Mus musculus: one gene and its partner. The protein of the gene in region 1 interacts with the protein of each later gene in a biochemical or structural test. Links are inferred from orthologs where the notes say so. Each region holds a gene or a part of one and is shown on either strand. Other genes may lie near its edges.

Region 1 (6,980 bases):
CTTACACAGATCCACAACTCACAGCATGCACAACTGTCCCCTAAACATCAACTTACTTGGAATTAGTGCTACTGGTCTCACTTTCAGAGAAGATCCAATAACAATGAGGAGGTCAACTTCATCTTTGTCATACTTCATGGCTCTATGAAACTGTTCTGGTAAGTTTTCACCAAAGAAGACAATCTCTGGCTTCATGATGGCAAGTGGCTCATCAGCTGGGCACCTAGGGCACCGAGGAACTACCTGCACAAAACATGAAAGTCAAGTAGCCCAGGTTAGCACTCGGCACATTCCCAGCAAACAAAGCGCTGTGAATTTGATAGTGTCTGCTGTGGAGCCAGTGTGGAGCCTGGGGGTGGGTGACCTACCAGGCAGGGACACTTTTCACCAAGCCGGACAACCAAATTTAACTCCCAGGTAGAAATTGAGAACTGACTCCCAGGTTGATCTTCTGACCTCCACAGCCTGATCTCTCTTATCCAGTCTCCACACATGCTATCATTTCCCCATACGCACTGTGCACCCACAAGATACTATAAATATGCAAAGAGCGTGGTAAAGAATGAAAACAAGACCTTTTAAAAATATTTATGAAAATGACTCCATTTGAGTATACTGTCTTTTTTTTTCCTGGTTATACATGAGTTCAAAGTTAAAACATATATCTGGATGTGTGTTGCTATATTTTCCTGTAATAAATACTTCATTATCATTTTGAAAAGTGTTTTAAATCTTACCACAACTAATGTAAGACTAATTCCAGAGGTGTTCCCTGCAACTTGTGACTTAGGCCTAGATTATATAAGGAGGTGCTTAGGTGTATTAAGGAGGACTTTAGGTTGGTTGGTTTGAGAAAGAGTTTGTAGGTGACCATGACCTTCAACTTCTTATTCTCCAACCTCCTTAAATGGTAGGATTTCAGGCAGGAGAGCAATCCCAGGACTACAAATGCTAAGCAGCCATGATCTACCAACTGAGCAACAGAAAAACTTTTTTTTTAAAAAATGAGACTCTTGCTATCCAGCTCAGGTTAGCCTGACTCTTACAGTGCCCTGCCTCAGCCTTCAAGTGTGCTCTAACATGCTCTTGCAAAAAAGACCTGTTTACATCAGGATTTCTAACACTCATGCTTCTCAGAAGGGGGGGGGGGGGGGGATGAAGATACAACCAAAAGTGAAGTTTACACAATTCCTAAAATGAGATGAATTAAATTACCTGATTAAAAATGTCTCCACGAACAGCTTCACAATCAACTTTGTATTTACAAATCAGGCAAGATGCTGTTGCAAAGGAACCTAAAACAACCAAAATAGAACATTTATTTTTTTTTTTAATATTTATTTATTATTATATCTAAGTACACTGTAGCTGTCTTCAGATTTCAGATGTACCAGAGGAGCGTCAGATCTCATTACAGATGGTTGTGAGCCACCATGTGGTTGCTGGGATTTGAACTCAGGACCTTTGGAAGAGCAGTTGGTGCTCTTAACCACTGAGCCATCTCTCCAGCACCAAATAGAACATTTATTGAAGGGCTATTTGTGGCTTGCTCCATGAAGACTTTTTACAGTTTTATGTATGAATGCTGTATCTGCCTGCACTGCTACATGCCAGAAGAGGGCATTCATTACAGATAGTTGTGAGCCACCATGTGGTTGCTGGGGATTGAACACAGGACCTCTGGAAGAGCAGTCAGTGCTCTTAATGCTCTTAAATGCAGAGCCATCTCTCTAGCCCCACCATGAAGACTAACCTGAACTCTCCTGTGACGTATTTAAGGAATATAATACATGTGATATAGTTTATCTACTAATACATGTGTATATAGACCTTATCTTCTAAAGCTACTATTTGCAATAACATAACTCTGCAAGTGCCAAAACTGCAGCTGGAAGGTTCCAACTGAGTTACCTTAGCTTGGCTGTGTCTTGTTTAGTCAAGGCTAGCCTTGAACTTGTTATCAAAGTATACCCACCACATCTGAGGCCTTCAGCTTTGTTTGTGTCCTTTTCAATTTTGTCCACTCAAGGTTACTAAATAACGCTTAGTCTCGTCACTAGACAGCAGCTTCTTTCCAAGCCCGGTTACCTATTGAACGCCCTACGAGAGCCACTGTGACGTCACTAACCATGACACTGAAGGATCCTTTGGATTCCTGCAACCTGCTCCAAGGTATCTATATTTTGAGTATAATTTCGAAGTAGTTTTCCTTCCTTATCTGACAAAGCTATGAATTTGTGACACAGAGACGGCTGGAACTGTCCGGGATATATTTCCTATGTAATGCAAAAGGCAGAAAAGTTTAATTAATGAAAGAAGCATAACAGATATCCTGCTTATGTTTAGTCAAACAGGTACTAACAATAAATATTCTGTAATAACCAAAATACATGAACATTTTAAAGCATCTAAATGGATGGCCCCTAGAAAAAGCTTGTTACTTTATGAAAACTCAGCAATTAGTAAACTTGGTCCCTTGAAGTGCAAGATAACACATCGTAATGGACTACTTAATGTCAGAAGAAATACATACCTTAGATACATCTAAACTTTGTTGGCTGCAAATTCATAGTTTTTCTTTAAGGAAAAAGGGGGGAAAACTTTACACTGAAATTACAGATATTAAAGGTATGGTGACTTTACAACTAAAAAAAAGGCTGTCAATGAATTATTTAAAACTTTCTGTTTGATTCATCATTGATAAATATCAACCTGCTGGGAGTTTAAAGCTGAAGTTTTAATTCCTTACCAAAATTGCTTTCCTTCCACTGCACAGGCACATACTGGTATAGAACAGAGCTGCTCATGAATGTTGAGTTGCTGGATTTTGTGTGTGTGTTTTTCCCCCCAAATAATGCTTCAATGCTGTTTCTTCTTTAAAAACAAAGAATTCAGATATACACATGGCAAAAAGATCAGAGAAAAAGTATCAATTTTGGTCCTCCCAACTTTTTAAATATATACATTTATTAATTTACTCATTTATATGTGCATTGATATTTTGCCTGCATGTATGTCTGTGTGAGGGTGTCAGATCCACATGCCATGTGGGTGCTGGGAACTGAACCCAGGCCCTTTGGAAGAGCAGCCAGTGCTCTTAAGTGCTGAGCCATCTCTTCAGCCCCTCATCCTCACAACTCCTGATAGTGTTCTTATTCAATTTCATTTAGTGAGTGACTGTGGCAAGGAAGTTTCTTTTTTCTTTCAAGTAGCTTACACTATCTGTTTCCTTACATTATAGGCTTTATCTAACCCATTATAATGTTAGCAAAAACTAAACACAACCATATGTATGTCCATCAATACGGAAACTAGTTGTGCAAGGTACAACCATACAGTGGAATATTCAGCCACTGAGAGAATGAGAGGGCTCTCATGTACTGACCTAAAAATAGACCATGACACACATGAACAAAGCAAGTTAGTCACCAGGGTGTAATCTTTCTGGTTGTATTAAGCAAAAACTGAAGTTATGTGTATATACATATGGATGGTCCTGTCTTTAATTTTGCTCTCCATTACAGTGCATTCAGAAAGCACTCATGAAGCTGGACTGAGTGGCACATGCCTGGAATCCCATTAAGAAACAGCTGGAAATATTCTATAAATTCTAAAAATTCTAAAAACTTTTAATGAAAATTTTGCCTTATATAGACTGAATCTAAAAATTCTGCTGTAACTCAAATAGCTTGGAGTTTTTTTATAGGGCATGGGTTAATTATTCCAAATCAAAAAGATAGGTCACCCATCTCAAGTCTAAACATCCTAAAGGCTTTTAAGAAACCAACTATGTTGGGTATTCTGCTGAGATCAAAAGTTTAAATTTTTTTGTTAAAAGATAATAGCCTGCGTAGTGTTGGTGGCATACACCTTTAATCCCAGCACTCGGAGGTAGAGGCAAAATTCACCTAATCTTAGAGTTGTAGAACCTAGGAAAACAGTTGAGTTTGTTTGGTTATAACCTACATTTTCATTCTATAAACACTAGAAGGCTGGTGGCATGGGAGGCACAGAGTTTAATCCCAACAGCACATAAAAATGTGAAGGGGTAGAGAAACTAGAGCAGTGGGAAGTATTTACACTGTCAGTTTGAGGCCCAGTGCTCTAACTCTGAATGCAGGAGGCAGAAACAAGGGACTCCAGCTGAACAGTCTAGCAGGATCCCCTGTCCCAAGAGATGGCGAGAGCCTGGCCTACATCAGACTGCCTCAAAACAAGAGATCTACACTGCACACTGCATACACACCACACACATGCAATGTGAAACAAAATTCCACTAAGAACCCTCCTCCTACTTATTCATTAAACTCCACTCAATTTCTTGACAGCTACCTCTTGAAGGTTATTTAATTTTAACAGAACATATTTTCTGTACAGGGTCACAACAGGGAATATTTTAGGCTTTATGGGCTATACATTTGCCATATGGTCTCATATAGAAAAAGAAGTCAAAGATGATCTGTAAATAGACGTGGCGGTCATAAAACTGACTCAAGGACAGAATAGTAAATGTAAAACAGTGGTCCTGTGACAGCTCCCAGTTATTAACAATTAATTCTCAGCTAATATGGTAGAGTAAGATTGGGAAGAAGCTAGTGAGCCGACACATAATCTCTGAGGGAGAACAATATTTAGACTAGAGATTACAATTACTAACATTGTGTATCTACAATGTCTTGATGTAAGAGTAGAAATACCTATGTAAAGTAATGGATGTTAACGATATAGCCATCCTATAAATACAATATAATGTATACCATAAAAAATGCACTTATCTGTCCACTTAAAGTAATCCATAGGTCATCACTCATGGAGAATTATACAATATTTCATCACATTTCAGGAAATAATTTTGATAGTATGTATGCCAAACCGACTAACCAAATAAAAGAATTTCAACTAGGGAAGCTATGAACTAATTCTTACTGAACTTGAACATGAACATGCAAAACTCACACACATATGATAATGCAGAGCATTACACATACTTCATGTTATACATAGTTCATATGGATAAAACTGAATTAAAGGTAGGGTCTTATTATGTAGCCCTAGATGGTCCACCTGCCTCTAACTCCAAAGGACTGAGATTAAAGACCTGCACTACCATACCTAACCCTTGGTTTTTTATATTAAGAAGTAATTTTATATAAATGAGTGCTTTGCCTGAAGGTAATATATATGTACCACATGCTTGCTTGGTGCCCAAGGATGACAGAAAGGGGAGTTGGAGAGAAGTGGAGTAATGGATGGTTATGAGCCACCATGTGAGTGGTAGGAACCAAACTCTGATCCTCTGTGCAAGAACAAGTGCTGCTCTCAACGGCCCCCATTTTAACACTTTTAATTATCTGCATGTCTGGGGTAGAGGATGTGGGTGAGTGCAGGTGCCATGAAGTGGAGGCCTGAAGGCCAGCAGCACGTGACTCAACTGGGCCTGGGGATAACTGCAGCTGTAGAGCCTCTGGATACAGATGCTGGAAACTGACCTCTGAAAGGTGCAAGCAGCAGCATGCACACATAACCACTGGCTCGCCTCTCCAGCCTCTGTTGTCTGAGATGACTATGAAGACTTTTTCCAGATTTCCTCCCTGCCCATGTTTGTTAGGTGGTACATAAAAAGGGGGAGTTCTCTGGTGAGGCTTTTAGGGTCTACATATAGAATATCATCCACAAACTAAGGTCACTTTAATTATCCCATCTATCTTTTTTTAATCAAACTAATTTTTTATGCCTTTAATCTGCCCTAAAACACAATTAAAATTTAGGAAAAACATACTTTAGCATGTGTATTCTTTGTGGGTAGCAAAATCTGGGGCCTTGTGCTAAAAATGGTCTACCACTGTGTGCTATTTCACTCTGTAACCCAGGAGAGCCTGGAACTCAAGTGTTTAGCAGAGACTGCCCTTAACTCTTGAGACCCTTCTGCCTCCACCTCCTAAACCCTGGATTAGGGACATAAAAGGGTTAGCTTGTTACGCATTATTGGAGAGCTAAGTTTACTGGAATTCTAGTCCTTATAATCCCCTAAAGAGGAACAAAATGATGCTTGCCCATACACCTACATAAGCAATAAATAACTAAATGTAATTTTAAGAACATGTGGAACTTTCAATTTTAGATATGTATCTGCACTTGACAATCCCGGTAAAATACTGGGGGGGAAAAAAAAAAAGACTAGTTATGACAATGCAGTTTCCCCAACTCACAACATAGAATTTATAAGAAAAGTTGTGGGAATACTAACATATAATCACTAACCAGCTATGCTTGTATAAGATGAAAGTAACTTTTACTTGCTGGCCTTCCTAAATCTGTGTCTACTTATAGTAGACACCATGATACACCAGGGTCCTGCATCCATTAAAACAATCTTTGACTGGTATTCTTTAAACAGTGTAGCAGCACAGCTTCCAATAGTACACCTTAGCTGCAAAGTCTGGCCATCCTCTAATCCCAGCACCAGGATACGGAGACAAGAACTAAAGCACCCTTACAGTTCTGAGACTGTACTGAAGGAAGACAGCCTTTCTAATCCACCTTAGGGCTTACAAGATGGGAGGTGGATTGGGAGATAAGTCTGTTGCCTAATCTGCTGACCTGAGTTCTAATCCAGGAACTCTCGTGTGATGTGGGGGAACCCAACCCCCTAAACTAAGGTAGTGCTGTCACATCCACCGGTGCACTTGGGAGTGCAACACCATTCACCACTCCACCCCTCCACAGATGAAACTTTTAAAGACGTCTCTAAAACATCTCTCTAAATCAGAAAAGCCTTGCATATGTATTTCCAAGTTCCCTAACAGTGAACATAACAGCCAGGCATAGCAGCTCCTGCTCTAATCCCAACAGATGGGAGTTAGACGCAGGAGGCTCAGGAAATTCAAAAGCCATGGCTAAGCAAAATTCAAGACCGGCCTGGCCTACATCAGACTGCCTCAAAACAAAAAACCTTAAGATTAAACTGGAAAAAAAAAACA
Region 2 (7,520 bases), on another chromosome or scaffold:
CTCCATGCTAATTCTGCTCTGCTGTAGGCAGTTCTGTGTTGCCATTTGAGAGCCAATGCTGCTTAAAGGCAAAGAAGAGTTGCTTGGAGCAGGGACAGTGAACCTTGTTCTCTTACTGAGGACAAAGCCCTGCCTTGTCAGGGGCCCAATTAGGGAACTGACCGATCGTCACTGAGACAAACCTCAGGAGTCCCAGTGAACAGAGAATGGAGGAGGCAGGCTCAGGGGAGAGGATGGCGGTGTGGAGGCCACCAGTTGTCTCCTTAGGAATGTGTCCATCAAACAAACAAAAAAAGCTGGGCAGTGGTGGCGCATGCCTGTAATTCCAGCACTTGGGAGGCAGAGGCAGAGGCAGGCGGATTTCTGAGTTCGAGACCAGCCTGGTCTACAAAGTGAGTTCCAGGACAGCCAGGGCTACACAGAGAAACCCTGTCTCAAAAAAACAAAAACAAACAAAAAAGGAATGTGTCCATCTGCACTGAGGGGTCTCCTGGTCCCTGTGACAGGTCAGTCCTTCCCTTGCCACTTGTTCTCCCCCAGTGTGCTCATTCCACACGATCTTTCCTTTGTGACTGGCACTGCACTGCTGGAGAGTCCGGTTTGCTCTGAGGGGCACAACCATAGCTTTCACTGCGGTCCTTGGTTGGGTACAGACTTTATGCAAACCTGTAAACCTGCTTGCTGAGGACTCCGGAAACCATGACCTAGGCCCAGATATCAAATGACATACGACTGACTTTCTGCTCTCCACTGATGCCATAGCAGATCCCAAAATCCAGCAGGGTGGAGGTGACCTTCCTGTCCACTTCCTGGGCAACTCTAGCAGCTACAGTAACTGTGCCCAGAGAGGAGGCCCTCGCTGGTAGAAGGAAGTCATTTATGCTGGGCCAAGGCTGGGGACTTTAACACGGAAACCTAGAAGAACCGAGATCCACACTGAGATGGGAAACACATTGTAACACACACACACACACACACACACACACACACACACACACACTTGAATCCACATTTGCCCAAACTCACATTTATTTATTTGAATTTCCAGCTCCTTGAGGTGGGGTCTGAGTGGGCCCAGTACCAAATAGCCCTGATAACCAATCCTGGTCATAGCTGGCAGGTCAGAATCTTTTCTGGCAGGGTGCTGATGGTTCCGCCAAACTAGAAGTCCACTTCAGTTTGAGGGAAAATTTGCTGCAGGGCTTGCAGCTCTGTTCCAGTGTCCCTGGGATAGCAGCATATGGCTTCCTGAGCCAGGCTAGTTTTGCACTGCCACCTGCTGGTCGCTCGTGGCACAGCACTGCAGGGACCCAGGACAGCAGAAGTCCAGCCAAGGAGGGTTAGTGTCTTTTGTCCCCACCATTCCTCCAGGAAGTCTAGCTGCCAAAATATTCCCTCTGGAACTTCTGGAAGTCTTCTTCAGTGAACACAGTGCCCTCAGCCTTCTTCTTCTTCTTCTTCTTGTTCTTCGTCTTGGCCACTAGCCGATCACAGGCTTTTCGGCCTTGGTTCTGCTGCAGGATCTGAAAAGGTTCAGAGTAAGGGCACAGGACACCCATCTTTGGAAGCACAGATGGAAACCTTTGAGCCCACAGGGCTTATGGCTCAGGGCAGGGCTGAGAACCGCACGGACTCTGAAGGACAGCCTCAGTTATCACCCAGGTCCCTAAGCTCACACCCTCGACAAACCTGCTGGGTCACAGACTCTGGCACGGTGCTTCTCATGCTGGTCATAAACTTCAGGTTTGCTTTGAGGTGGTCTCGACACTGCCGTTTCTGGTACTCAGCTGTGGGTGGCAGGCAGGGCATGTCATTTCAGACTCATTGTACATTAGAAGCCTTCTGGGTCCCTTCCCCTGCCCAAGGCCCCACTGTCCTTTCCCTAGAAGGGAATATTTCACAACCTGGTCTCTTCTAAACCAAATCTACATTTCCCATAAGTACTGTCTGCTGCAAATCTCATAGACCCTATTGGATAGCATCAGTTAGTCACGTGACTGTCCCCCCCACCCCCCCAAACCCACAGGGTTTCTCTGTGTAGCCCTGGCTGTCCTGGAACTCACTCTGTAGACCAGGCTGTCCTCGAACTCAGAAATCTGTCTGCCTCTGCCTCCCAAGTGCTGGGATTAAAGGCGTGTACCACAACGCCCGGCATGACTGTGTCTTAAGCCAGGCATGGCACCTGTAATCCCAGCACTGGGGAGGCCAAGATAGGAAGACTGCTCCTAGCTACACAGTCAGATCAGAAAGGGTTATGTTTAAAAACAGCATAACAAAAATCCACCACCACCACCAAATAACACAAGGTCTACCCTGAGCATAACTGTGCATCAGGCACAAAGGACACATGAGCTCCTGTTTTCATTTCTACAGGGAAGGAACTGAGAAGAACAGTAACACACATTTTAGAGGGTTTCCATTTTCTTTCTTGGGGGTTGGAATTTCCGGAGTACTGGGATTAAAGGCGTGTACCACCACCATGCCCGGCTATTGTCCTGCCTACCCATTATGTACTAGGCAGTAGACCAGCCACGAGGACCATGGAAAATCCAGGGTTGGGGATGGGAGGTTAGTCCTGTGTCTTGAGGAGTGCTTACCTCAGGACAGGAGTGAAGGGAACCCCACTCCTGTCCTCCAGTTATTGGGATAACTGGGCAGGGAGGGAGGCACCTTGACATGAACTCGTGCAAACCACTAGTGTCTGTGCATGCCTCCTAGCTCCACCTCTGTTCATAGTGTTTCCTCTTGAACGACATAGCTTTTAACAAGGACTCCCAGGCTGGGTGCAGTGGTGTGTGCCTATCATCCAGTGCTTAGGAGGCTGAAGCAGGAAGGCTGATTTAAGGTCGTGGCTAGCCTGTGCTATATCATGGCTAGCCTGTGCTATACAGTGAGGTCCAGGCCTGCCCGAGCCAAAATAACTCCCCCCCCCCCCCCCCGCCTCCAAAACTGGGAGAAACAAACACACAATGAAACCCGAGTACCTCAACTCCCTTTATAGAGCAGAGGCATGGAGTCAAAGAAGAAAGCAACATGCGTACCATCCTGTGCCCCTTCTCAAGGAGGCCTTACTACCTGTGCCACACCCCCTAAGCTGCTCTACTGGAAACAAGGTTTCTGCTTTGCAGACACTTCACTGGTAAATGATATCAACTCACTTCTGCTGTCCCTACTGGGATGGAAGGAGGCACTGTCACCTGAGCAGAGCACATTAAGAGCAACAGCACGGGGACAATTTGCCCGGCTTCCACCTCTATCACCTGGGCAGGTGCCTGTTTCTGTAACTGTAAAGTGGGGGAGAGATCTGCTCATCTCACAGGGCTGCCGTGAGGGTCAAACGAGTTAGTTAGTTTAGAAGGGTAAACTGTTGACTGAGTGCTTCATTTCATAAATGTGTGTGTGTTGCGTGCCTTAGTGTATGTATGTGCACCCCAAGTGAGCGTCTGTGGAATCAGAAGAGGGTATCTAATCCCCAGACCTGGAGTTACAGTGGGCTGTGAGCAGCTTTGTGGGCTTCTGGGGGGCTCCAGGTCCTCTGGAAGAGCAAGCAGCAAGTGCTCTTAACCAGTGAGCCAGCCCTCTATCCCTGATGGGTCCTCCATCTTGCCTCTTGCTCATCTTACCCGTTAGCCTTCTTCCAAATTCTCAAGCCTTTCTGGCTAAAACCTTCTCAGATGCCTTAACGTTGCTTCCACCTTGGCTTGTTAGTTTGATTCTTCCTCGGAGCACTGCAGAGCCTTTCACCTCACAAGCCTCACTCACTTGGCAAAACCCTGCTTGTTAGTTTTGAGACTCTCTGATGGCTGGTCTACAGAGTAAGCGTGTGGCGCACGCCTTTAATCCTAGCACTTGGGAGGCAGAGGCAGGTAGATTTCTGAGTTCGAGGCCAGCCTGGTCTACAGAGTAAGTTCCAGGACAGCCAGGGCTATACTGAGAAACTCTGTATCAAAAAGCCAAATAAATAAATAAATAAATAATTAAGAGAGACTCTCTGATGTTTCTCTCCCCACCACGGCTAGAGCTCACAAGCGCCTGGGTCTTGCGTTTCATCTGCCTTCACGATTAGGTCTTGCCCTGAACTCACCACGGAAAGACACAGAACTTCTGATTCTCCTGCCTCCACCTCTCAAGTGCAGGGATGACAGATGTGTGTCACCACTCCCAGGCTTTTCCCTCTTTCTCTCATCCTGTTAACTGCCACATAGCAGACAGCGGCAGACCTGGGAATTAGATTGCTTGGGTTCGAAACCTGTCCCCCACGATTTGAACATTCATTTTGCCTTTTCCTTGTGGAGTCTCGGGGAACGTTTGGAACTCCCGACTCGAAGGCGCTGCCCCCAATTCTAAGAAGCGCTCACAGTCTTTCTCAACTCACCTAGAGCGGACTTAGGCGCCTTTCCCTTCGCTGAGTTCCGCAGTTTCAGAGCCTGGGAGGCCTTGGCCCGCGCCCTCCGGGTCCGCTTCGCCGGAGTCCCGCTAGCCTGGACCTGGCCCGGGACCGCACGGGGAGCTACGGGGAAAGGCAGCGAAGGACCGAGTTGAAGGGCGCGCTCTCCCTCCCCACCCGCCCGGCTGGCTCTCCTACACAGCGCGACTGTCGCAGGACCTGCTCTCCTCACCCTCGGACGCCGCCAGAAGCTCCAAACCGCGCCGCACTAACGCCGCCGACATGTTTCCGAGCCCCGCCCACACGCGGCGAGCTACTTCCGCCCTGGCGGTGTTCGCTCCTCGGCAGAAACTGGAGCAGGAGCTCAGGGTTCCGCAGCGAGCGGAAGTGCTGCCTTAGAACGCAGGCTCAATGGCTTTCCTATAGCCCCGGAGGAGCGGGGAGCTAGGGGCGTGTCCAAAGCGCAGAAGCCACAGTTGTTCAATTTCTAAGCAACAGGTCTCTGGTGATCCAGGCTGTGTGGGCGGGCAGACTCGACTTCTAGCCTTACTGGTCAATTCTGTCCAGGGGCCAAGTGTGGAATAGACTGAGTTCCTGCAAAAGAAGTGATTCTTTCTACTTTCTTTTTAGACAAGGATACATCTAGCCTAGGCTGTCCTTGAACTCGATTGTAGCTGAGGATGACTTTGAACTCCTGATCCTTCTCTCTCTGCCGCCCAAGGGCCGGATTTACAGACCTAAGCCACTTTGCCGGGCTTAGACAGTTTTCATGACCTTCAAAGCATTACACCGGTCCCGTGCACTGTGAGAATCTGTGTGAGAATCAGTAAAGCCAAGGAGGTTAGGTGTCGTACTTTGTAGTCCCAATACTTGGGAGATTGAACAGAGATTGTTGCTCTGAGTTCCAGGCTAACTTGGGCTACATAGCAAGACTCTGTCTCAAACAAACAAACAAACAAACAAACAAACAAACCAAACCAAAACTAACAAAAGGAAAAAACCAAACAAAAGACCAAAAAAAAAAAAAAACCCCAACAAAGAAATAGATTTGCAAACATGCAAAATAAAGTGCTTTGTTTTGAAAAATACAGCTATTTGCTGCAAAATACTGTTTATGTTATTAAGCAATGAGTTGGTTGTCAGGCGAAACAGTAAATACTGCTGGGCACAGTGATACCAGAACACTTAGAATACCAGCACCTGGGAAGCCGAGGCAGGAGAGTGGCAAGTTTCAGGTCAGTTTATATCACATAGCTACACTCCAAATTCTAGACCAGTCTGGGTTACAGATTAATAAGAAGAGCTAGGATGTATTAATAGCTTGGCGGTAGAATGCTTGGATTTAATCCCTAGTATTGAAAAAAAAAAGGTCAGTTTTTAGTCTGATAGATCAATAAATATTACAATCAATATTACACATAGATGTAAATATTCTATCGATAAATATTACACATAAATGTTCTCTGGTTACATGAGTTCCCCCCCCCCCCTCTCAAGACAGGGTTTCTCTGTGCAGCCCTGACTGTCCTGGAACTCACTCTGTAGACCAGGCTGGCTTTGAACTCAGAAATCAGCCTGCCTCTGCCTCCCAAGTGCTGGGATTAAAAGCGTGTGCCACCACCACCTGGCTTCGTTTTTGTTTTTAATTTAAGTATACATATATTTATATATATTACACACACACACACACACACACACATATGGATTTTTGCCTGCATGTATGTCTGTGCACCATAGGTATACCCCATGCCTGTGGAGGCCAGAAGTAAGCATAATTACAGGCTGATGTGAGACGACCCCAAGTCTGCTGGAAGAGCATCTAGTGCTCTTGGTTATTTTGAGCCTTCTCTTCAGCCCTGAGTTTTTAAGAGTGAAAAGAGCGTATGACACCAAAAAGGTTGAGAACCTCTAGTCTAGAGGTTTCTTTTTCGTCACTTTCGTGTGTTTTTGCAGTGCTGATGATCAAATGCAGACTCTTGAGTGCCAAACAAGCTTTCTAACCTCCTAACCCAGAAGAAATTATTATTTTTTGGCAATGAGGAGAAACCCTGCCTGGTTTATTTCACTTGTGGAGACTCGTAACCAGCACCTGGTATGTGGGAGCCATGAAGCGCTAGCCGGTCTGTGAATGGGGAGTGAAAATGGACATCTGGACTCACTGGGCCAACAGATACTGAGGGGTTTGCGTACCTGATACTGTAGAATGTGGACACAAAGAAACAGTGATTCTCCCTGGACAACTCTCATTGTCAAATCTCTACTAAACTAGTCCAGAAGGGAGACACTTTTAATAACAAATGCTAACAAGAGTCAAGTTCCTGTTGTGTTTCACATGCATAAACTCCATTCACTGAGGTAGGTATATTGTCTGTCTAATATTTCTTGAGGAAGGAAATCAATTCCTGTGTGGCTGTCCACATTGCGACCATGTGATCATTAGGTGGCGCTGCAGGACAGCATTCTTTGGCTTCCTGCTCCACTACCTACAGTCAGAGTGGATGAATGGATGTGTGAGGTCCAGTGCTCCTGGATTGGCTCCCTGCTAGTTCAGTGATACAGCCTTCCCACTGGCAGCCAGATGATCCTCTCTGGATGGAGAAATTGAGGCAGAAGCAACAAGCTGGGCCTCCCAGGATAGAGGCTAGGTCTCTTTCCAGAAAAGTGTGCCCAGGCAGTTGGATGTAGGCATCTGGTATAGAGACTGCTGAGGGCCGTGTGACCCTAGGCAAATCCATTTCGAAGAGCACCTTGGTTTCCCCGTTTGTTAAATAGACCTCGGAAGTCGTTTCCTTACAGTTCAGCCACCTGGGATCAATGAAGCAATACTCCTGAAGCACCTTCAAGGAAAGGGGTACTGCCTGGAACATTGCAGACATAGCCCGTGCTGGCATTCTGCATCCTCCTACTCTGGCATGGTGGACAAGACAGCTGCAACGGGCATGGCACCCATGGGTGCTTGCTTGCCTCCTGCTATGTTTGTCCCCAACCCTTAAAGTTAGGTTCAGGGAAGGCAGCTGCCTCCTGCTGGTCTCTGTGGAAGCTGGTGGGTCTTAAGGTCTCAGAATGGTTTCTGTCCTGGCTGTGTGGTCTTGCGAAGCCACTTTCCTGCTCTGAGTCTTAGTCTCTGTCCTGG

Evidence for each region. The genes of interacting proteins can lie anywhere in the genome.
Region 2: the proteins of Sirt1 (region 1) and Rps19bp1 form a complex in vitro, tested with the Homo sapiens proteins (2 studies listed by BioGRID and IntAct). The link is inferred for Mus musculus from reciprocal best matches to the Homo sapiens genes SIRT1 and RPS19BP1.

Annotation. Positions count from the first base shown.
Region 1 is NC_000076.6:63,323,911-63,330,890, forward strand, and holds part of Sirt1 (NAD-dependent protein deacetylase sirtuin-1), read right to left. Parts: intron 2,277-6,980; coding exon 2,129-2,276; intron 1,296-2,128; coding exon 1,216-1,295; intron 244-1,215; coding exon 57-243; intron 1-56. UniProt on the Homo sapiens protein: NAD-dependent protein deacetylase that links transcriptional regulation directly to intracellular energetics and participates in the coordination of several separated cellular functions such as cell cycle, response to DNA damage, metabolism, apoptosis and autophagy.
Region 2 is NC_000081.6:80,259,608-80,267,127, forward strand, and holds Rps19bp1 (active regulator of SIRT1), read right to left. Parts: upstream 4,700-7,520; 5' UTR 4,672-4,699; coding exon 4,620-4,671; intron 4,511-4,619; coding exon 4,376-4,510; intron 1,788-4,375; coding exon 1,690-1,787; intron 1,524-1,689; coding exon 1,377-1,523; 3' UTR 1,007-1,376; downstream 1-1,006. UniProt on the Homo sapiens protein: Part of the small subunit (SSU) processome, first precursor of the small eukaryotic ribosomal subunit.